Linked DNA regions of Arabidopsis thaliana. The protein of the gene in region 1 purifies or fractionates together with the protein of each later gene. This does not show direct contact. Each region holds a gene or a part of one and is shown on either strand. Other genes may lie near its edges.

The links.
Region 2: the proteins of CHR17 (region 1) and NF-YB11 fractionate together in Arabidopsis thaliana (co-fractionation; one large-scale study listed by BioGRID). This does not show direct contact.
Region 3: the proteins of CHR17 (region 1) and NOP56 fractionate together in Arabidopsis thaliana (co-fractionation; one large-scale study listed by BioGRID). This does not show direct contact.
Region 4: the proteins of CHR17 (region 1) and AT5G67630 fractionate together in Arabidopsis thaliana (co-fractionation; one large-scale study listed by BioGRID). This does not show direct contact.

Annotation. Positions count from the first base shown.
Region 1 is NC_003076.8:6,196,143-6,204,015, reverse strand, and holds the start of CHR17 (chromatin remodeling factor17), read left to right. Parts: upstream 1-1,849; 5' UTR 1,850-1,957; coding exon 1,958-2,170; intron 2,171-2,454; coding exon 2,455-2,586; intron 2,587-2,663; coding exon 2,664-2,770; intron 2,771-2,862; coding exon 2,863-2,975; intron 2,976-3,196; coding exon 3,197-3,294; intron 3,295-3,386; coding exon 3,387-3,566; intron 3,567-3,649; coding exon 3,650-3,871; intron 3,872-4,081; coding exon 4,082-4,216; intron 4,217-4,285; coding exon 4,286-4,568; intron 4,569-4,650; coding exon 4,651-4,724; intron 4,725-4,835; coding exon 4,836-5,056; intron 5,057-5,132; coding exon 5,133-5,220; intron 5,221-5,296; coding exon 5,297-5,390; intron 5,391-5,473; coding exon 5,474-5,662; intron 5,663-5,752; coding exon 5,753-5,787; intron 5,788-5,902; coding exon 5,903-5,979; intron 5,980-6,075; coding exon 6,076-6,165; intron 6,166-6,263; coding exon 6,264-6,333; intron 6,334-6,427; coding exon 6,428-6,482; intron 6,483-6,554; and 12 more. Other genes in the region: AT5G18630 (alpha/beta-Hydrolases superfamily protein), read right to left, coding at 86-133, 223-288, 521-600, 979-1,051. UniProt on the Arabidopsis thaliana protein: Possesses intrinsic ATP-dependent nucleosome-remodeling activity. Constitutes the catalytic subunit of several complexes capable of forming ordered nucleosome arrays on chromatin. Involved in the formation of nucleosome distribution patterns.
Region 2 is NC_003071.7:11,744,435-11,748,277, reverse strand, and holds NF-YB11 (nuclear factor Y, subunit B11), read left to right. Parts: upstream 1-1,822; 5' UTR 1,823-1,902; coding exon 1,903-2,072; intron 2,073-2,091; exon of another isoform or gene 2,092-2,251; coding exon 2,252-2,370; intron 2,371-2,543; coding exon 2,544-3,082; 3' UTR 3,083-3,297; downstream 3,298-3,843. Other genes in the region: ATCOAE (dephospho-CoA kinase family), read left to right, coding at 1-191; AT2G27480 (Calcium-binding EF-hand family protein), read right to left, coding at 393-503, 601-619, 710-885, 994-1,040, 1,134-1,467; AT2G27460 (sec23/sec24 transport family protein), read right to left, coding at 3,411-3,622, 3,707-3,843. UniProt on the Arabidopsis thaliana protein: Component of the NF-Y/HAP transcription factor complex. The NF-Y complex stimulates the transcription of various genes by recognizing and binding to a CCAAT motif in promoters.
Region 3 is NC_003070.9:20,983,762-20,988,890, forward strand, and holds NOP56 (NOP56-like pre RNA processing ribonucleoprotein), read right to left. Parts: upstream 3,192-5,129; 5' UTR 3,133-3,191; coding exon 2,928-3,132; intron 2,678-2,927; coding exon 2,463-2,677; intron 2,371-2,462; coding exon 2,213-2,370; intron 2,131-2,212; coding exon 1,943-2,130; intron 1,847-1,942; coding exon 1,594-1,846; intron 1,511-1,593; coding exon 1,362-1,510; intron 1,273-1,361; coding exon 1,141-1,272; intron 1,052-1,140; coding exon 783-1,051; 3' UTR 642-782; coding exon of another isoform or gene 598-641; 3' UTR 574-597; coding exon of another isoform or gene 540-573; 3' UTR 512-539; downstream 1-511. Other genes in the region: AT1G56100 (Plant invertase/pectin methylesterase inhibitor superfamily protein), read right to left, coding at 1-218; AT1G56105 (uncharacterized protein), read left to right, coding at 1-121, 150-226, 293-348, 540-573, 598-641; AT1G56120 (Leucine-rich repeat transmembrane protein kinase), read right to left, coding at 3,527-3,898, 3,987-4,137, 4,219-4,450, 4,533-4,743, 4,858-4,976, 5,101-5,129.
Region 4 is NC_003076.8:26,966,847-26,971,168, reverse strand, and holds AT5G67630 (P-loop containing nucleoside triphosphate hydrolases superfamily protein), read left to right. Parts: upstream 1-1,768; 5' UTR 1,769-1,862; coding exon 1,863-2,611; intron 2,612-2,973; coding exon 2,974-3,634; 3' UTR 3,635-3,791; downstream 3,792-4,322. Other genes in the region: AT5G67640 (uncharacterized protein), read left to right, coding at 621-725, 809-857, 928-1,254, 1,499-1,623.

The DNA.
Region 1 (7,873 bases):
GTTACATGTACTGATATTAATAATTGTTCAATGAAGAAACATCATGAGTTCATGACCAGCTGTAGCTTATGATATCAGAGCAGACCTGTAAGCAGTGTTCAACGTCAAATATGACCTCTATTACTTCGAAATCCTGCACCATCCTAACAAACGTTAGAGCTCAACTCAATAATTGCGGCTTCAAAGTTCAAACAGTGATCTGCTTCAACATGTGTTTTTTACCTTTGTCAAACCATTGCATCTTTCGCACGTCCAAGTGAAGAGTTTTGTCAAATCAGACTCATAGACCTGCATACATCTTACAAACTTGATTCACTCATCTTATGTACGTTATCAGCATCATCTCTTTTCTCTAGTAGTGCAAATAATGATAAATGAAAATATGAAGAGGACAAGTGTAATTTCTTCTCACTTGCAGAACACTAGATATAAATGACATTCGTTCTACAGGGTATTACGTTTTGAAGCTAAATCATTATCAAAGGTCTTTTACTACTTCACTAATCTGCCATTAACTTACCGCAGAGGCATACTCCACAAGCGTGACGGCAAGCGTATGGTTGTAAACAGGTCGATCATCATCGCTCTTCAACTTGAGAACTGCAGTTAGAAGAAAGAAGCTAACATAAATCCACTTGCTTCAGTCTTAACTCCTTCGTAGCCTCACAACTCATACCAAGAACATGAAATTGTCGAAAACATAAAGCTTTGAAATCAATATTTTGACCTTCATGGTTCCTTATGTATATGATGATGCTACAAGGATTATGAATTGATTTGTTCCAAACATGATAGAACATGTAATTAGGCCTTAATGAAAAATCACTGTAGCCAGATTAAATTTCCAATTTCCCAAGCACTTCACATTACACAGAAAGTTTAAAATCTTAATTAAGCTCAGAGAGACTCAGGAGAATAAAAAAACTGGAAGTCCCAATAAAGGAAACAGACATAGAATCATTATAGAAGTTGCATTACCACCTCTACCATATGAAGATGAAACAAGAAAAGTAAAAACTGCCAGCAAGAACAACAATCTCTTTTGTCCCATGTTCTGCAAGAAGACAATAAACACAACCACATCATCCTCTGTTCATCAACCAATGTTAAGGGCAAAATTGAGCTAAAACAAAGCAGAATTCGGAAGCAAATTAGCCAAAAATATACCTTATAAAACGAGACTCACGAAACCCAAACTAATGAGGATTAGGACAAAACCCGAAAGAGATTTCAGCAACCAAAAGTCCCAGATAAATTAAACTGAGGATCCAAAGCCTAAATTGGACTTCTTTTACAACAATTCGGAAATTTCCGACGATGATCGGAGATTATTCCCGGCAAGAAAATTATACGGCGAGCTTATATATTATTATATAGAAGTCGTGATCTTGCGAAACAGAAGCTAATAGAAGAAAAGAAACGGCGATTAAAATACGAATATTCGGTTTTTTTTTTCTTAACTTCCACTTTCATCCTCTATACGCAAAGGTGCATGAGACAAGCGTGTAGGCTCTTTCAAAGGGTATTATTGGAATTTTAGGTGTGTAGCGTGTCGCAACTTCAAGTGCTGAGGTGTCAGATACGTGATTCGGGCGGATAAATGGATAAGGCCGTTCCGTTATAAGAACGAGAAGTTGACCTTTTTGACTTTCGCTTTCTTCTAAGTTTAACTTCGAGCCCATGGGCCTTTAAAGCCCGAATTCCAAGGCGGGAATTTCCGAAACTCTTACTTCTCAAGTGGCGGGAGAATCTTTATAAGTCAAGCCAACGTGGCACATCTCAGCCGTAGATTTGATTTCTCGAAATCAACGGGGTAAAATAGAAGCTACGGTCGTTTCAAACGTCGGGTTTGTTGCTTTTAATTTCACTTTTGTTTATTTACTAACCAAAGCAAAAAAAACTCAGGAACCCTCGATTCGATCTCTCAGACGAAATCAGGATTCGTAGAGGCGCGTCGATGGCTAGAGCTTCGAAGCGGGAAGTTTCTTCAGACGAGGCTTACTCGTCGGAGGAAGAGGAGCAAGTTAACGATCAGGCCAATGTGGAAGAAGATGATGACGAGCTCGAGGCCGTCGCTCGCTCTGCGGGCTCTGACGAGGAAGATGTTGCGCCCGACGAAGCACCTGTCTCTGACGACGAGGTTGTCCCCGTAGAAGATGACGCTGAAGAGGTATGTCTTCGTTTCTGTTTTCCACTCTTCGATTTACATTCGCATGTCGGCTGTGAATTCGGGGATTGCTGTATTTGGAAATCTGAATGTATTCTAAGTAAGATTAGGGTTTCCTTTGAGCGTATATTCGATATTTGGGTGTCTTTTGGTTTCGACTCTCTTTGTTTGAAGGTTTATGCTTAGAAGTGCTTACAATGATGGGTGGTCGCTCATTATGATGGTACATTCATGTGACTCGTGAGGATATTTGGTCACTCTTTTCATAATTTGATGGTTATATGTAGGACGAAGAAGACGAGGAGAAAGCTGAGATCAGCAAACGTGAGAAGGCTAGACTCAAAGAAATGCAGAAGATGAAGAAGCAGAAAATTCAGCAAATCTTAGACTCCCAAAATGCTTCCATAGATGCTGATATGGTAAGTTAGTAAATAACTGAGCTGCTTGTCTTTAGTATCCAGAGGTATTGAAATAACTCAATCATTCCATTTATTAGAACAATAAAGGAAAGGGGAGGATAAAGTATCTTCTGCAGCAAACTGAGTTATTTGCACATTTTGCTAAAAGTGACCCGTCTCCGTCCCAGAAGAAGGGAAAAGGAAGGTGTGTTGAGTGCAACTTATCTCAAAATAAATTGTGGTTATTCATATTAAGTTTCCAGAAATATAATTTATTGGGTTTCACTTTATCGTCAGGGGTCGCCATTCTTCCAAACTAACCGAGGAAGAGGAAGATGAAGAGTGTTTAAAAGAAGAAGAGGGTGGTATAGTTGGATCTGGAGGCACACGGTTGCTCACTCAGCCCGCTTGTAAGTACCTTTGTTTTGCTCCTAATATCTTGATATAGCGTATGTTTGCTCAAGTCCTATTGCGAGTCGAAGTTATTATAGGATTTGACACCTTATGCCCACTTCTTTGATTGGTAGAGTTGTTTGATATATTCTTCAGTTGCGAGCTCACAATTTCTAGGTAGGACTGCATAAATTCTGTAGAATTTAGAGATCTGATCTTCATACTCTTCATATTGCAGGTATTCAGGGGAAGTTAAGAGATTACCAATTAGCTGGTTTAAACTGGCTCATTCGGCTGTATGAGAACGGCATAAATGGGATTCTTGCAGATGAAATGGTAAACCACTAATTATCTTAGCATATAATAAGATTTTTCAGCTCTCTAATGTTATCTGATGCTAATCTTTATTGTTTTTGTTCATGGTCTAGGGTCTGGGGAAGACGCTTCAAACCATTTCTTTGTTGGCTTACCTGCATGAGTACAGGGGAATTAATGGCCCTCATATGGTAGTTGCTCCAAAATCAACCCTTGGTAACTGGATGAATGAAATTCGCCGATTTTGTCCTGTCCTGCGTGCTGTGAAATTTCTCGGTAATCCCGAGGAAAGAGTAAGTCATAATAGCTCTTACATTTGAATGGTTGCATTTATATGCACCTGGCAGGATTCTGAGATATATTTTAAATAATGCAGAGACATATTCGTGAAGAACTGCTAGTTGCAGGGAAATTCGACATTTGTGTAACAAGCTTTGAGATGGCTATCAAAGAGAAGACAACATTGCGCCGTTTTAGCTGGCGATATATAATCATTGATGAAGCACATCGAATTAAAAATGAGAATTCACTCCTTTCGAAAACCATGAGACTTTTCAGCACCAACTATCGGCTTCTTATCACGGGAACCCCCCTTCAGGTACTTGTCAAATCTTTTGATCTATAATTGTTTAGATCCTTCAATTTTTCTGTCAGATTGCTTCTGCCTATGTTGAAACTACTTTCTTGCTTGAGTCTGTTGAACTTAGTTTTTTTTTCTTTTCGTGTTCCTTAGACATGCTTCTTACTATCTTCTGTACTTGATTTGCTTGAGTTAATATTGTATTCATTTCATATGTTTCTACTACAGAATAATCTCCATGAATTGTGGGCCCTTCTCAATTTTCTTCTCCCTGAGGTTTTTAGTTCAGCAGAAACTTTTGACGAGTGGTTTCAAATTTCTGGTGAAAACGACCAGCAAGAAGTTGTTCAACAACTTCACAAGGTATGTACTCATATTTTATCAAGGTTATTCTCTAAGTTCTTATGCTAATCATTTACCTCATCTTTGTAGGTTCTGCGACCATTTCTTCTTCGGAGGTTAAAATCAGATGTAGAGAAAGGCTTACCTCCAAAAAAGGAGACAATACTCAAAGTTGGCATGTCTCAAATGCAAAAACAGTACTACAAGGCTTTACTGCAGAAGGATCTTGAAGTGGTTAATGGTGGTGGAGAACGCAAACGTCTGTTGAACATAGCAATGCAATTGCGGAAATGCTGCAATCACCCTTATCTCTTCCAGGGTGCGGAGCCTGGTCCCCCATATACTACAGGAGATCACCTTGTAACAAACGCAGGTAAGATTTACATTACAAGTAGATCATTCAGAAATGTGGCAATTGGCTTAGTTATTTTCTCTTTACATGTTCTTGTTTCTAGGTAAGATGGTTCTCTTAGATAAATTGCTACCTAAGTTGAAGGATCGAGATTCAAGGGTTCTGATATTTTCTCAGGTATTCATTAACGCAAACAAATAATTGTTCCTATCTTTGATTCCTTTTTTCTGAGTGATATCTTTCTTGGTTCTTTGTGCTTATTCCAACGATTTTGCTCATCTGTATCAGATGACAAGGCTTTTGGATATTCTCGAGGATTACCTAATGTATCGTGGTTACCAGTACTGCCGTATTGATGGAAATACTGGTGGTGACGAACGAGATGCTTCCATAGAAGCCTATAACAAGCCAGGAAGTGAGAAATTCGTTTTCTTGTTATCCACTAGAGCTGGAGGACTTGGTATCAATCTTGCTACTGCAGATGTTGTGATCCTCTATGATAGTGACTGGTAAGGCTCTTTTTGTGTCCATTGTAATTTATGAGTGTTTTCTTTTATGCCTAATGAGGTGGGTGGATTATGGCAGGAACCCTCAAGTTGACTTGCAAGCTCAGGATCGTGCACATAGGATTGGTCAAAAAAAAGAAGTTCAAGTGTTCCGGTTCTGCACCGAGGTTACTCTTGTACCCATGTGTATGAAGTAAGAATGACCTGGAGAACTTGAACTAATTCTGCATTGGTCTTATGCAGAATGCTATTGAGGCTAAAGTCATTGAGAGAGCTTACAAGAAGTTGGCACTTGATGCTCTGGTTATTCAGCAAGGGAGATTGGCAGAACAGAAAAGTAAGTGCTTGTGTACTGAGGCTGTTAGATGTATTGGATTTTCTCTTACATATATATACTGATTTCTTTTCTTTGCTTTCCAGCTGTTAATAAGGATGAGTTGCTTCAAATGGTGAGATATGGTGCTGAAATGGTGTTTAGTTCTAAAGATAGCACAATTACGGATGAGGATATTGACAGAATCATTGCCAAAGGAGAAGAGGCAACGGCTGAACTTGATGCCAAGATGAAGAAATTTACTGAAGATGCAATACAGTTTAAAATGGATGACAGTAAGTGTGCTATTTATCCCTTTTTCCAATGGTAACTCCCTTGCATGGGTAATGGGATGTCCAAACAAGATAGTTTTTGGTTTGTTGCAGGTGCTGACTTTTATGATTTTGACGATGACAACAAGGTATTCTTGGATAATTAATTGAATGATTGAAGGAAAGGTTTAACGCATACTGTGGTTATGCTCTGCAGTTTTTCGAATATCGTTTCCTGATTTCTTTTTTAATTTTGTTTGGTAGGATGAGAGCAAGGTGGATTTTAAAAAGATTGTGAGTGAAAATTGGAATGATCCACCAAAAAGAGAGAGAAAGCGCAAGTAAATATTACTTCTACTTTTTCATTACGTGGTCTATCCTGTCTTCCTAAACAATATCTAACTTCAACAATTTACTTTTCTCTACCCACCCTTTAGCTACTCTGAAGTTGAATACTTCAAGCAAACGTTGCGACAAGGTGCTCCAGCTAAACCTAAAGAGCCTAGAATTCCACGCATGCCCCAATTGTGAGTACCTCAATTGTCTCCACTCTGCATTTAGCCTTTTCCCTGTCTTATTTATAGTACTTTTATCGTAAAAATCTAATTTCTTGTCCATCCTGCAGGCATGATTTTCAGTTCTTTAACATTCAGAGGCTGACTGAGCTGTATGAAAAAGAAGTGCGATACCTTATGGTGGGAATAACAAGTTTATCAACATGTTATGTAATTTATGCAGCTTTTGTGTCTGATTAGTTCTGAATAGCAATTTGTTTCACTCTGGTTTCAGCAAGCACATCAGAAAACTCAAATGAAAGACACAATTGAGGTTGATGAACCTGAAGGTCTTTCTCAGTCTTTGCCCTCTTTTCTTACATTATTTTACTGAATCTATTACTTAAGAAATAATTTTGCAGAAGTTGGAGATCCCTTAACTGCTGAAGAAGTGGAAGAAAAGGAGCTATTGCTGGAAGAGGCAAGCCAAACCATTCGACCTTACTGTGGGTTGACATTTGTTTTTGATGGTTTTTTTATAATTTAATGGAGTTGATATTTTTTAGGGTTTCTCAACATGGAGCAGAAGAGACTTCAATGCCTTCATTAGGGCTTGTGAGAAGTATGGCCGGAACGACATAAAGAGTATTGCCTCTGAGATGGAAGGGAAAACTGAGGAAGAGGTTGAACGATATGCTCAAGTTTTCCAAGTGCGATATAAAGAGCTGAATGGTTAGTAACTTTAGATTGTTAAGTAAAGTTAATGAGTGTTTGCAGTGCGACAAAGTTGGATATTTATCCTAAGTAAGCTCTGCCTCTTGTTTTCCTTTGTAAAAATTGTAGATTACGACAGAATCATCAAGAATATTGAGAGAGGGGAAGCAAGAATCTCTAGGAAAGATGAAATCATGAAAGCTATTGGGAAGAAACTGGATCGCTACAGAAACCCGTGGCTGGAACTGAAGATTCAATATGGTCAGAACAAAGGGAAGCTGTACAATGAAGAGTGCGACCGTTTCATGGTATGACATCTATTTATCAAACTCTTTGTTGAGATTTCATTGTTATTGTTTTATTCTAATATGATATTGACCCGATGAACTTGTGATTATCAGATATGCATGGTCCATAAACTTGGGTATGGAAACTGGGATGAGCTAAAGGCAGCGTTTCGGACATCCCCCTTGTTTAGGTTTGACTGGTTTGTAAAATCCCGCACAACTCAGGAACTTGCAAGGAGATGTGACACACTAATCAGGTTGATTGAGAAAGAGAATCAAGAATTTGATGAGAGAGAGAGGCAAGCCCGAAAAGAGAAGAAGCTTTCAAAGGTGAGGACTTGAAGGAACATTTTTTTTTTTTTGTGCGAAGAACATTTTAAGTTTACATTTTCATTTACTGATGAGATGCTGTGGAATTGTTTCTCATGATCTGTTCTACAACTTGTTTCAGAGTGCAACGCCATCAAAACGACCTTCGGGTAGGCAAGCAAATGAGAGCCCTTCATCTCTTCTGAAGAAACGAAAGCAGCTGTCAATGGATGATTATGTGAGCTCGGTACTCAAAATCATTTCCAAAACATAAAAAGAGTTTTTCATTTTACTGGTTAATTCATGCAAAGCAGACAGACCATCTATTTCTGATCCTAACTAAAAAAAAACTTTATGTCTCTGCAGGGAAAGCGTAGGAAATAAGAAGGCTTGTGTTGAATCCATCACTAAGTAATCAGAAAGATTTATGA
Region 2 (3,843 bases), on another chromosome or scaffold:
AAGCTGATGTTGTGATCGATAATAATGGCTCTCTTGACGACCTTCACCAACAGTTCGAGAAGGTTTTGATTGAAATTAGAAGACCATTGACGTGGATCGAGTTTTGGCGTTCAAGGCAAGGAGCCTTCTCGGTCCTTGGTTCAGTGATTTTAGGATTATCTGTTTGCAAACAGCTCAAAATTGGCTCTTAACATTTCACTTCTGTTACTGCTAAAAAACTTGTTATAATCTTAAAGCTTTGATTTATTATTCTCTTGCTCTCTTCAGCATTAGCTTATTACACTATTCACTAGTTTGAATTCACTCTCCTATTCAGTCAGTACTCAGGCATCTATTATCTATATACAACTTGAATCTGTGATTGAGAAAAAGAAAGAAGTAGCAAGTGACCATTAATCATAGGTGGCGATGAACGGAATGACCATCAACATGAAGACATCGTAAGAGAGCGTTGCGTAGCCTGTGTAACCAGGGTCGTTCTCCCTGAACTTCTCTGTCAATCCCTGTTAATAAGCATACGACACATTTTAAACAATTTCAAGTGGTTTAGATTCATGTAAACACATTGTCGAAATTCTCATGGAGGTTAAAAGATCATACCTTCACAATCATCCCACACCTGCAGAACAAAATGAGGGAAACAAACCGATGATGCTTAGTATACAAATTAAGAACCGCAAGAATCGATGAAAACATACAGAAAACTTACTCGAGGAAGCTGTCGAAACATAGGTCAACAGTTTTGCCAGTCCCATCATCAAACTGAGATACGATAAGCTGGTGAACCGAGGTTGGAAGCACGCACCCGAGATTATAGAAAGCGTCTCTGAGCTGGGTAGAATTCATCTTTCCACTCCTATCTCTATCGTACCTGTTAAATATTGCCTACAAAAGAACACACATTGAAAAGTAACACTCCATTTTTAACTTTTAAGGCATAGAAGAATACACACATTGCCTCAACTAGATTGATCCACATAAGTGTTCACTTACACGCCATTGCGCAAGGCAGTTCCATAACTCAACATACTCCTTAGGACCTACATAAAAAGGTAGAAACATGGCTATTTTGTAACATCATTCATATTTGAAATCAAAAAGCCAATTTCAAAAGCTGCAATAAGTGAATTTACCAAGCCGAAGCAGAGAATCTACAGGAATCTTGTAAATAAACAACAGCAACCTAATCGTTCTGTTACTAATTCCATCGTACCCAGATAACGACAACGCTTGCCGGAGCTCCGATTCTTCGAGAAATCCGCTCCGGTTTCTATCCGCCGACTCAAAGCTCCTCACAATCTCCGGATGCGTTTCCGGGGAAAACATCCCGGAGTAAGAGCTGAATTGCTGAGTTGGTTGATATGATGGATACGCGTAAGTGTATCTACTTTCACCATCGTGCTGCTGCTGAACGAACGATTCTGGTAGCTCCGGTGCCGACGGTGCGTAGGCGTTTGAGTAAGACATTAATCAGAGTATGAAATTCTTAGAAATGGCTCGAATTCGGAGAATCTGGTTATTCGAAGATGTCTCAAATTCCAGAGGTTGAAGACGACTCCGATTCTTATTCGTGTTTTGATCGAATTTATTAGTATTACGATTGGACGGTGAAGATTTAATAAAGGTTATCCAACGGTGAGATTGACAACGTGCTCATAACTCTTTAGTGCTTATCAATTTGAATAATGGGCCGATTTGCTAGTACGATTTGACGGCTAGGATTTTGTCAATCAATCCAACGGGTAATATTGAGCGGCGTGGTCATAACTCTTTAGTGCTTATAAACTTGAATATGGGCTTTTAAATATTTTAATAGGCTGATCAGCTTACTGGGCCGATGTGTTTTGTTGTATTATTAACATAAAGGCGGGAAAGACGGCGACTGAGAGAGAGGAGAGAAGAATGGAGTCGGAGAAAGTGGTGGTGGACGAGCTGCCGCTAGCTATTGTGCGCCGGGTGGTGAAGAAGAAGCTGTCGGAGTGTTCGCCGGATTATGACGTCAGTATTCACAAGGAAGCTTTGCTCGCATTCTCAGAGAGTGCGAGGATCTTCATCCACTACCTCTCCGCCACGTATGTACACTTCACAAACCCTAACTTTTTTTCGAATTTCTGCACTATGATAGTGAATGATTTGGAATGTTCCAAGTTTGGGTTTATGTTAATGTGATTCAATTGATGAATGTTAGTGTTTGTGAATTGTGATCGATCGAATTGATGGATTTAGTTTAATTTGGGGGTGAATGATATAGGGCAAATGATTTTTGTAAAGATGCAAGAAGACAAACTATGAAGGCTGATGATGTGTTTAAGGCATTAGAAGAAATGGATTTTTCAGAATTTTTGGAGCCGCTTAAATCTTCTCTTGAAGGTAAGTGTTTTGTTCGGATGAAGATCCTATTGTCACTATCTGTTGTTACTTTCATGGAGTGTTAGTAGAAATGGCTTAGGTTGTGATTTGTCTTGTTATGGACACTGGCCTAGGTGTGTGCACTTTGAGCTTATGATGTCAATCCTAGTGTAATCCACATGACTGGTTTTCAGATTTTAAGAAGAAGAATGCGGGGAAAAAGGCGGGTGCTGCAGCTGCTTCGTATCCTGCTGGTGGAGCTGCTTTGAAATCTTCAAGTGGAACTGCTTCGAAGCCCAAAGAGACGAAGAAGAGGAAACAGGAAGAACCATCTACGCAAAAGGGTGCAAGGAAAAGCAAAATAGATGAGGAAACTAAGAGGAATGACGAGGAGACTGAGAATGACAACACGGAAGAAGAGAATGGAAACGATGAGGAGGATGAGAATGGAAACGATGAGGAAGATGAGAATGACGATGAAAATACAGAAGAGAATGGGAATGATGAGGAGAACGACGATGAAAATACGGAAGAGAATGGGAATGATGAGGAGAACGAGAAGGAGGATGAGGAAAACAGCATGGAAGAGAATGGGAATGAGAGCGAAGAGAGCGGGAATGAGGACCATAGCATGGAAGAAAATGGGAGCGGGGTTGGTGAAGATAATGAGAACGAGGACGGGAGCGTAAGTGGAAGTGGTGAAGAGGTAGAGAGTGATGAAGAAGATGAATGAACTCAAGGTTATATTTTTGCTAAGAACATGTTTTCAGGTTTATGTTGGAGATTAGCTTGTAAGCTTGAAGCAGTGGTTGTGGCCATGAGCATGTAATAGACTAACATATCTTTTTGCTCTTTGGCTCTAGTGTTACCAAATATGTAAGTCAAAGTTTAGAAAATGAAGTTTTGCAACAAAATTTTAGCTTAATTATTCATTTTGATTAAGAGAGCAAAAAAGTTGGGATGCTAGTCTAAAGCAAATGTTACAACAAGAAGAGTAAAACTCTGACACAGTTGAAAATTTTGAGTTTGGATGTATAATAAACTAGAGGGTCATTTGGCTTTCACTTCATGTATTCAGTGACACGCTGCGAAATATCATCGAGGAAAGACACGAAACCCATGGCGCTAGCAAAACCATTACCGTCCACATCTTGTTCTTCTATAAGATAGTTCTCAAAGACAGTAGCATCGTCTCGTCCTCCTCGGATAAACACTAGTTTTGGTGTGATGCTCCTTTCTTGCTTCACTTTATTTATGGTCTGCCTCAATAAACCTGTAAGATATAAGTTTTCGAATCAACATAGTCTCAAAGATCTAAAGGTGGTTGAACTGGATTTCATTTGGTGAGAAAACTTACAGTCTTGAGGTGGAGGGAAAGGTATTGACGGGTCTGCTGTTGATGAGTAGAAGACTATCAAAGTGGTATATGCATCTAGGAAAAATATCGGACTACCACTTGTTATCAATGCTGCACGGCTCAACGAATGACGCGGA
Region 3 (5,129 bases), on another chromosome or scaffold:
TTGGTGATGATATCGAGACGAGAGTCGAGACAGTGTATGATGATCTCGGCGATGCCAACACGGTCTGCATGAACGGAGGTTGGGTCGGATTCAAGACATTGCATGCAAATGGTCGGAACTTGTGCATTATGGCATTCCTCTTTCATCAGGTCCTTCTCGGCGCAAATCGGAGAGATCACGAGCAGAGCTAACAGGAGAAACTTGATCATTATCGTCATTATGCGAAGTATATTTCCTATGATTGATTATGTTATATTTCTTTGAGGGGTGTGAATTTCTTATTTGTACTAAGAATATGGGACTGGGAATGTGGTTGGTCACGAGTTTATCTATCCTTCTCAAAAGGAGGTAGCTCTATTGTTTACTTACACAAGTTTTAACATCTATTCAATTTTACCTTTTGTTAATGTTAACTGACCATTCAAACGCGAGCTGCTCTTCTTCTATTACTCCATTTGGGTAAAATAATAAATCATATGGCTCCAAATTCATTTTCACAAACTTGTTAAGCTAGTTTTCCAATTTGGTAGTTAGTTTAGCTATTATTGAAACATTTGCAAAGCACTGGAATTGGTAATTGTATTTTATAAAATGGAGGAGCCTCCTTCACGGTTGCAAACGTCAAAATAGTGAAAACCTAAACAAACTTAAGATATTGCCAAACCTTGAATCGTTTCCAGACCAAAACAAAAATTCTCCGATGTTCACTACGAAAAACAGACGACATTAATTTAGCTCAAAAAAAAAATACAATACAGGGTTTGTTAATGTTGCATCCCTTTCTATTCAGCGCTCTTAGACTTCTTCTTCTTCTTCTTGGTGCTGTGACCATCATCAGTCTCCTCTTCTCCTCCAGCTTTACTCTTCTTTGTCTTCTTCTTCTCTGATTTCTCGTTCTCCTCTGCAGTCTCCATCTTCCTCTTCTCTTTCTTCTTCTTTTTCTCTGACTTGTCCTCCTCCATTGCCACCACCTCTTCTTCTTCTTCACCCTTTGCCTTCTTCTTCTTGCTTTTCTTCACCGAGGCATCAACTGGCTCCTTCCCTTCCTCTTCTAAAGGAGGAACAGATAAAAAAACACTGAGTTTGCCATCATAAAGAGGACTCTGATTACAACCAAAAAAAAACAGCTACAAGAAATACCTTGCTTTAGATTCTCTATCACCTCCTTCATTACATCCACGTTCTTGCGTGGGGCAACACCTTTGTCATAAAATTCTAGCCTTTCCTCAACTTGTTCGCGAAGCTTCTCACCAAAAGCAGTAGTTGCACCATCTGCATAGGACATCAGGGCACATAATTTAACACTTTCACAACAGAATTCATAATCCAAAACTCTTCTTCAAGGAGTTTCAGATTTTTACCAGCAAAACAATCAATCCGGGATGCTATAGAGCACTTGTTTGCAAGATAACGAGCGATACGGCCCTTGTTCTTAGCAGATGCTCGGCCAATGAAGGAAGAATGGAAAATCAATCCATACTTGGGAGTGTTTCCACGTGTTTTAAGTGCCCTGAAATACCACAGCAGTTCATGTCACAAGCAGCACTAAAAGGAAACTGGTGAACATTAAAAATATAGTGCCAGATATTGCACCTGAAAAGAGCCTTCTCGGCTCCAAGAATCTGGAGGGTGGAAGATGGGCATTTAGCAAGGTTAGTCAGACTTCCAGCATGTGAAATCAAACGGGCACCGACCATTTCTCCAATCAAAGCAGCCAAATTAGGGGCAATGTCGCTCATCTTAGTGACAAGATAATCATAGAGCTTCTTCCTGTAGTCAGCAAGGTCCATAACTTTCTGAGCAAAGGTCTGTACGTTGATTAAGTCAAGCGGTGATAAATCCGAGCCTGCCAATAGGGAAGAGAGTAAATGTCTCAGGACATAAGTTAACAGAAACACACATTAACTCAAAGCTACCAAAAAAGTCAGCTCAAAATTTTTACCCATGGATGCTTTTCCAGCTTCGATGACCTCCTTTGCCTTATCTTCATCCCCTAAGACTTCAGTAAGCATGGGGATGTGATCTTCAGTCAACTTTGACTTGTCATCAATCATCTTTGAAACACGGGCGTAAAGATAGTTGTCATTGACTATCTTCACTAGTTCGGGGAAGTGCCACGAATACCATTCCCTGTAATAACATTATAAACAGTTCAGCTACCAATTTTCTCGAGGAAAACACACAATCTGAAAGGGAAAAGCACAAAACAAACCTGACTCTCATGGCAAAGGAATTGATATCCTTATCAAGCGTGTCAAGCATGAAGATAGCTTGAATAACCATGTTATCCACTCGGTTAACATTGAACTTCACCTTGGCTCTGCTGTAGCTGTGAGCTAATCCAAGCTGAGATTTTTCAAGATCACCAGGCTACATAAACAGAAATTTTTTATGAGAACACAAACCATATGAGATAAGCAAACAGACAAAAAGATTTTAAACACATAGAAAGGAGATCACACCTTTAAGTCCTTGATAAACCTATCAAAATGCTGGCGAACACCTCTGAGAAGCTCAAGAACAAACTCATTGCTCTGGCATGGGATTTTAGTAGCTTCAAATATATGTGAACCGAGTTTAGGCTCAGCCAATCCTAAACTGAACTTGGGTTTCTTTCCCTCCTTGACCTTAGGAAGATTCAACTCCAGAAAACTTCTAAGCTCATCAGTCATAACACCTACCAATATCACATTAAAACCAATTCCAAAAGCATCAATGACAAAACCAAAACAATGAAACAAAAACAGAACACAAAAACAAGAATCAACCATAAATTAAAGCTCTTTCTACAATATATCCAGGAAATTTGAACTATAAGGTTTTAAATCGAAGTGTCTACTCTAGCTCTAAATACAAGAACAAGCTACTCAACACAACACATGAATATACAGAACAAAGAATAAGAAGAGAGTAATGAAGAGTCTGACCTTCAGAGACGGCGTTGACTTGGTTGAGAGCATCGAGAGCAGACTCAAAGGGATGAAACGCTGTGAGCTGAACAACACGGCCAAAGCGACTGAGGTCGGAGACAGAAGTCCGAACCGCCTCAGTGTTCTGTCCGATCTCATCTAGTCCGTGAACCTCGAAGAGACCATAGCCGGAAGAAGACTCGTAGATAACATACATCGCCATTTTTTGAGGAGAAGAAACTAAAACCCTAAAGACCTACTGAGCGAGAAGAAATATACAACGAACGAAACTAGGGTTTCAGGGGTTTAATAAGCGCATCTGTTGATGGCGCTGCTCTTGAAAAATTCAATGGGCCAGGCCCATTTAACGGTGTGTTAGTTGTACTAGCTTATAAAATGCCCGGCCCATCACAACAGGTTAACTTTCTTTTTTTTTTTTTTTTTTTTTTTTTTTGGTCATCCTTGCAAGATATCAAAAGTTTGTTACAAAAATTGAAAAATTGTCAACTAAAATATTATTATTGAATGAAAGTGAAATCTGTTTCTCCACATCCTTATATAGAAGAAAATTGTCAACTTCCATATACAAGCATATCAAATTATAGAGGGGACAATCTTCATCTTCCCTCCTTGATCTTGAATCCAACCATTGGCTTCGATTCGCCGTCTCTAAGTGGCATCTCCGGGCCAGGCGCTATAAAGCTCGTCGAGAAGCTAGTGTCTTTCGTTTGAAAGTTGCTGAATGAGGAGCTTGTGGTGTCATCAAATGTACAGTCGGTTAGGTAGCCTGGCTTAGAGGTGGCATCATTGACCTCAGCATCTCCTGACAACATGGCTACTACTCGTGACATTGGTGGTCTCAACGCATAAGATGACTGAGTGCAAAGCAGAGCAATGCCAATCATGCGTTTCACTTCTTCCATGTTGTATTCACTTAGCTCATCATCTATTAGTTCAACGTCACGGTTTTTCTCGTGTAGATTCCATGCCTGTATACAAGAAATACAAAAGGATTATCGGCTTTTGTCATTTATCACACCATCTTCAACTTCGCCTATATGACAAATATAGACGTACCCATTCAAGAAGATATTTTTTTCCCTCTTCCAGGTTCTCATCAGAGTTTTTCCTTCCACTCACTAGCTCAAGAGCCACAACACCAAAGGCATACACATCTGTTTTCTCTGTTAGATGTCCACGCATGGCATACTCTGGCGCAAGATACCCACTGCATTGATACAACTAACATGAGCTATAAAGCCATAATTGTGTTGCAAACAAAATGTCAGGGTCTATGGATTTTGCTTACATCGTCCCTGCCACTCTGGTACTAATATGGGTTTTCTTGTCATCATATAGTTTTGCAAGCCCAAAATCAGAAACTTTTGGGACCAGTTCAGAGTCCAGTAAAATGTTGCTGGCCTTCACATCTCTGTGTATTATGCGAACACTTGCTTCCTCGTGGAGATAAACTAGACCTCTGGCTACTCCCAGACATATCTCATAACGGGTTGACCAATCAAGATGCAAACTCTTATCCCCTGTAACATCCAACCCAATGGCATAATGATTACTTTAGCTTGGCAGAAGCAGAGATAGGTAAGTCATGTTTCTGTTCATTACCAAATAATGCCTGATCGAGACTTCCATTAGGGAGATACTCATATACGAGCAAACGATGATCTCCTTCAAAGCAGCACCCGTAAAGTTTTACTAGGTTGCGATGTAGAACTGAAGAAATTGCAATAATTTCTGCAACAAATTGTCCCTTCCCTTGCCGTGATCCAATTGACAACTGCTTCACCGCCACCTCTCTTCCATCATTGAGGTTTCCCTGTTGAACGTGTTATTCAAAACAAAACGTATTAAAAGGTATTACATGTACCCTTCTTTCCTAGTATCTCAGAAAAATATACAGCTATTTTGTTCGATTCAGTAAGGGACTTACCTTATAAACAGCCCCAAACCCTCCCTCTCCAAGCTTGTTTGAGAGATCAAAATCTTGTGTTGCATTCTTAAGTTCCGAGTAAGTAAAGGTGTAAGGCTTTACGTCCATACTAAGTATCTCTGCCATAAAAAATTCACTACTTAAAATCAACCAATTTAACAGATGATAGTCAACTTTAATTTTGATCAGAGAGCTAAAGTTATTCAGCTCAAGGGCTTGTTTATGTTCTTATTACATCTGTACCTTCATCATCTGTGTACGGTTTTCTTCTT
Region 4 (4,322 bases), about 21 Mb from region 1:
TGTTCGTCCCGTTTGGGCTGGCTCGTTGTTTGGGTTTTGTTTCTCATGGGCTTCATGTTTATTTAGCCTTTTAGTACTTGTATTCGTTTGCTTCTCTTTTATGTTAGTTTTTTTTTTTATCTTTCTCTTATTTGAAAAGACGTAATTTAGTATTGTAATTAGTTTTGATTATTGATTAAAGAGTTTTAAAGAGTGTTTTGTGTAAAGCCTATAAAAAAGGACTCCTAACCCTAAGAGCTTGTGTTCAAGCCCTGTAAGGAGGACTTGCAAAACCTTGTCGATATCGATCCCTTAGAATCGATCTCGATCTTATCATTTATTGCTTCTTCGTCAAGTTTTGACGTTTTAGCAAGATCTATTCGTGAATCCGACTTTTCCTGCAATCATGGAATAAGAATGTGTTTTTTTTTAAAATGTGTTTATTAAAGAAAGAAGGAAAAAAAAAGTTTTAGTTACATTTGACGTGAACTCTTTGACTTGTGTGGGTGCAATACTATATCAAAAAAATTGGGAGTAGTAATACAGTTACCACTAAAGTTTAGGGACATAATGAACAAAAAAAAAAAAAAAAGTTACACATCTTATGAATTAGACGGAGATTTCGCTGCCAAGTGCCGACGATGCGACGGCGAGAAGAAAAGCGTCGAGAATTTCACGAAGCTCTTCTTCAAACACTGTATCCTCCTTCATCGCCACCTTCTTCTCCTTCCTATTCTCCGCCTCCGGTATTTTCTCAATCTCTATTTGTGTCAATTTGTTAGTTCTCGATTGGGTTATGAATCGATAAATGTTCCCGCCATTGTTTCAGGTGGAGGTTGTTGATAACGAACCATTCGATGTGTCACTCATAAACCCAGGTACGATTAATGTAATCTTAACAAGTTATTTACACTTTGGAAGTCACATTCAAATTTGTTTATTATTCAGAGGATTACTTGAAAATCGATTCATCTAATCACGGAGAAGACAAAGAAATCGGAGACGAATTGGGGATTGCAGAGAAACAGAGTCGAGCGCAGAGAAAGAGGTTAAGGAAGAAGATGCTCAAAGAGGAAGCAGCTCGACGGAAGAAAGTCATCGGACCTTTACTTCCGACTGAAATGCTTCAGACCCATGATGAAAGAAGTGTCGGAGATGCTTGTGGGAGCAATGTTGAAGAAGAAGATTCTGACGGTGGCGAAGAAGAGGTTGATGGGAGCATTAGCAACATATGCTCACAACTTGTTCGACCAAATGCCCAAGAGAAGAAAGAAGGTACACACAGCTTTTGACTTTTTTGACGATATCCTTAGTTTCAAATCTTTTGGGAAAAATTCGTACTTTATCTAACTAGATTTCATAACACATGTACGTATTCAGATCAAGGGTTTGACTTTAATCAAAATCTACTAGCTCATCAAGTTGTTGTCTCATTGTTGGTCCTGTGCAAATTACTCAAACGTTCTCTTTTGTGTATTAATTACATTACGCGTCTGACTCTTTATTTTTTGTTTGGTAGGACTAATCGGTGACAATGATAAGACGAGAAAAGTCAAGAAGAGAAGAAATGCTAAGAAACTGGCCAAAGAGAGTTCTAAGAATATCCAGGATGGATCCAATGCAATCCCTGAAATTCCTAATTAGGGTTCAAATTATCACAGACCTTTATCTAAGAGTTAATTACTTCATCTTTAATAATTCAAGGGTATATTACTAAATTTATAATTCTCGTCTATAAGATTTGTGAGTTCCTTTTATGCCCTTGTTAAGAGGATTTAACTCTTACATCGTCATTGCCATTGTGTAGCTTTTCTCTAAACCCTAAAACCTTAACTTTTTGCTCTTCTCCCTCCGCCTCAATCGCACGAAGACGATAATCGAATATGGCGGAACTAAAGCTATCAGAGAGTCGGGACTTAACCAGAGTCGAGCGAATCGGCGCACACTCACACATCAGAGGACTAGGTCTCGACTCTGCCCTCGAGCCGCGAGCTGTTTCCGAAGGTATGGTCGGTCAAGTGAAGGCGCGTAAAGCCGCCGGTGTAATCCTTCAGATGATTAGAGAAGGGAAAATCGCGGGTCGGGCTATTCTAATAGCGGGTCAACCCGGAACGGGTAAGACAGCGATTGCAATGGGTATGGCGAAATCTCTTGGCTTGGAAACTCCTTTTGCGATGATTGCAGGAAGTGAAATTTTCTCATTAGAGATGTCAAAGACAGAAGCTTTGACTCAGTCTTTTCGTAAAGCGATTGGTGTTAGGATCAAAGAAGAGACAGAGGTTATTGAAGGAGAAGTTGTTGAGGTTCAGATTGATAGGCCTGCTTCTTCTGGTGTTGCTTCCAAGTCAGGGAAGATGACTATGAAAACGACTGATATGGAAACTGTGTATGATATGGGAGCTAAGATGATTGAGGCTTTGAACAAGGAGAAAGTGCAGAGTGGTGATGTTATTGCCATTGATAAAGCTACTGGGAAGATTACTAAGCTTGGAAGATCGTTTTCGAGGTCTCGTGATTATGATGCTATGGGTGCGCAGACCAAGTTTGTGCAGTGCCCTGAAGGTGAGTTGCAGAAGAGGAAAGAGGTTGTACATTGTGTCACTCTTCACGAGATTGATGTTATCAACAGCAGGTACTTTTAACATTCCCTGAATTGTAAACATTGGTAATCATGATTTGGTATCTGCAATACCAATGTAGGTTGCAAAATTGAAGTTTTAGTGATTAGGTGATTGGGAATTTAGTTGATTTGGCTCACTAATTTCAGATGAGATGTCTCAAATTTGAGATTAATTCATTGCTTTATATGCTCTTGAAATTCTCAAGCTCATTTTCTTTAGCAGTGTGTAGTCAGAGCACTCTTTATAACTATAACTAACTCATCTGTTTGTGGTATCGTTAGAACCAATTTTGGTTGCGGAATTTAATGTTTGAAACATGATTGGTAGAACAAAAAAAAGTAACTTTGTGTACTTCTTCTTTGTTTGCTTGCAGGACACAAGGGTTTCTTGCCCTTTTCACTGGCGATACTGGAGAAATCCGATCAGAAGTCCGGGAACAAATTGATACAAAAGTAGCTGAATGGAGAGAAGAAGGAAAAGCAGAGATAGTTCCCGGAGTTCTCTTCATTGATGAAGTCCACATGCTCGACATCGAATGCTTCTCATTCCTTAACCGAGCTCTAGAAAACGAAATGTCACCAATCCTTGTGGTGGCAACAAACCGAGGAGTGACGACAATCCGTGGCACAAACCAGAAATCACCACACGGGATCCCGATTGATCTCCTTGACCGTCTTCTCATCATCACTACCCAACCTTACACAGACGATGACATAAGGAAGATATTAGAAATCCGTTGCCAAGAGGAAGACGTTGAGATGAACGAAGAGGCCAAACAGCTTTTGACATTGATCGGACGTGATACATCTCTAAGGTATGCGATTCATCTTATAACCGCAGCTGCATTGTCATGCCAGAAACGGAAAGGGAAAGTCGTGGAGGTTGAGGATATTCAGAGAGTTTACAGACTGTTCTTGGATGTGAGGAGATCGATGCAGTATCTTGTTGAGTATCAGAGTCAGTATATGTTCAGTGAACCAATCAAAAACGATGAAGCTGCTGCAGAAGACGAACAAGATGCTATGCAGATCTGAGGATCCACCTCTGTTTGCCTTATTTATCATGTTTCGTGGTGATATGTATGATTAGGATGTTGAACTCGGATTTATGTTTTTTTTTTTTTAAGTTGTGACGAGATTCGGTTCTAGAAAATGATTTAACCAAGTTCAATACAGATCGGTTTGGTACAAATTTGATTTTGTTTGGATTTGGTCAACTTATTTCGGTTCGGTTAGACTAGACTGTAGGAGATGGTTTTACTAAATTAGTCTGGCCCGTTAAGACTTTATATGGGCTTTAAGCCCAATATTGACGAGTATAGTGAATCTCTCTCTTATCATTAAATACATGTAAGCGTGTGTTGTTCGCAAAATTTGACACGCATGCAAGTCTCTACCATCAGAGTAAATTAATTACGAGTGTTCTCTTACCAGACTTCATCGGTTTTTGGTGGCGTGTTTTGGTGTAACGAATTTATTTTGCTTGGTCGGGTCAATTTCAACTTATTTAGTGAAATATTATCTAAATTTATGAATAAACGTGTGTCCTTGAATTTCTTGAATAAAGATTTCAAAACAAACGGCTTTGTAGAACAAGAGTTAATGATAGAAGGCCAAACAAATTGTTCCAAACTCATGGATTGAATTAATCTAATTTACACATCGCTTGCAAGTAATTAGAAAAAACAAACATCACACGCTGGTGAATCCAACCAAAAATATG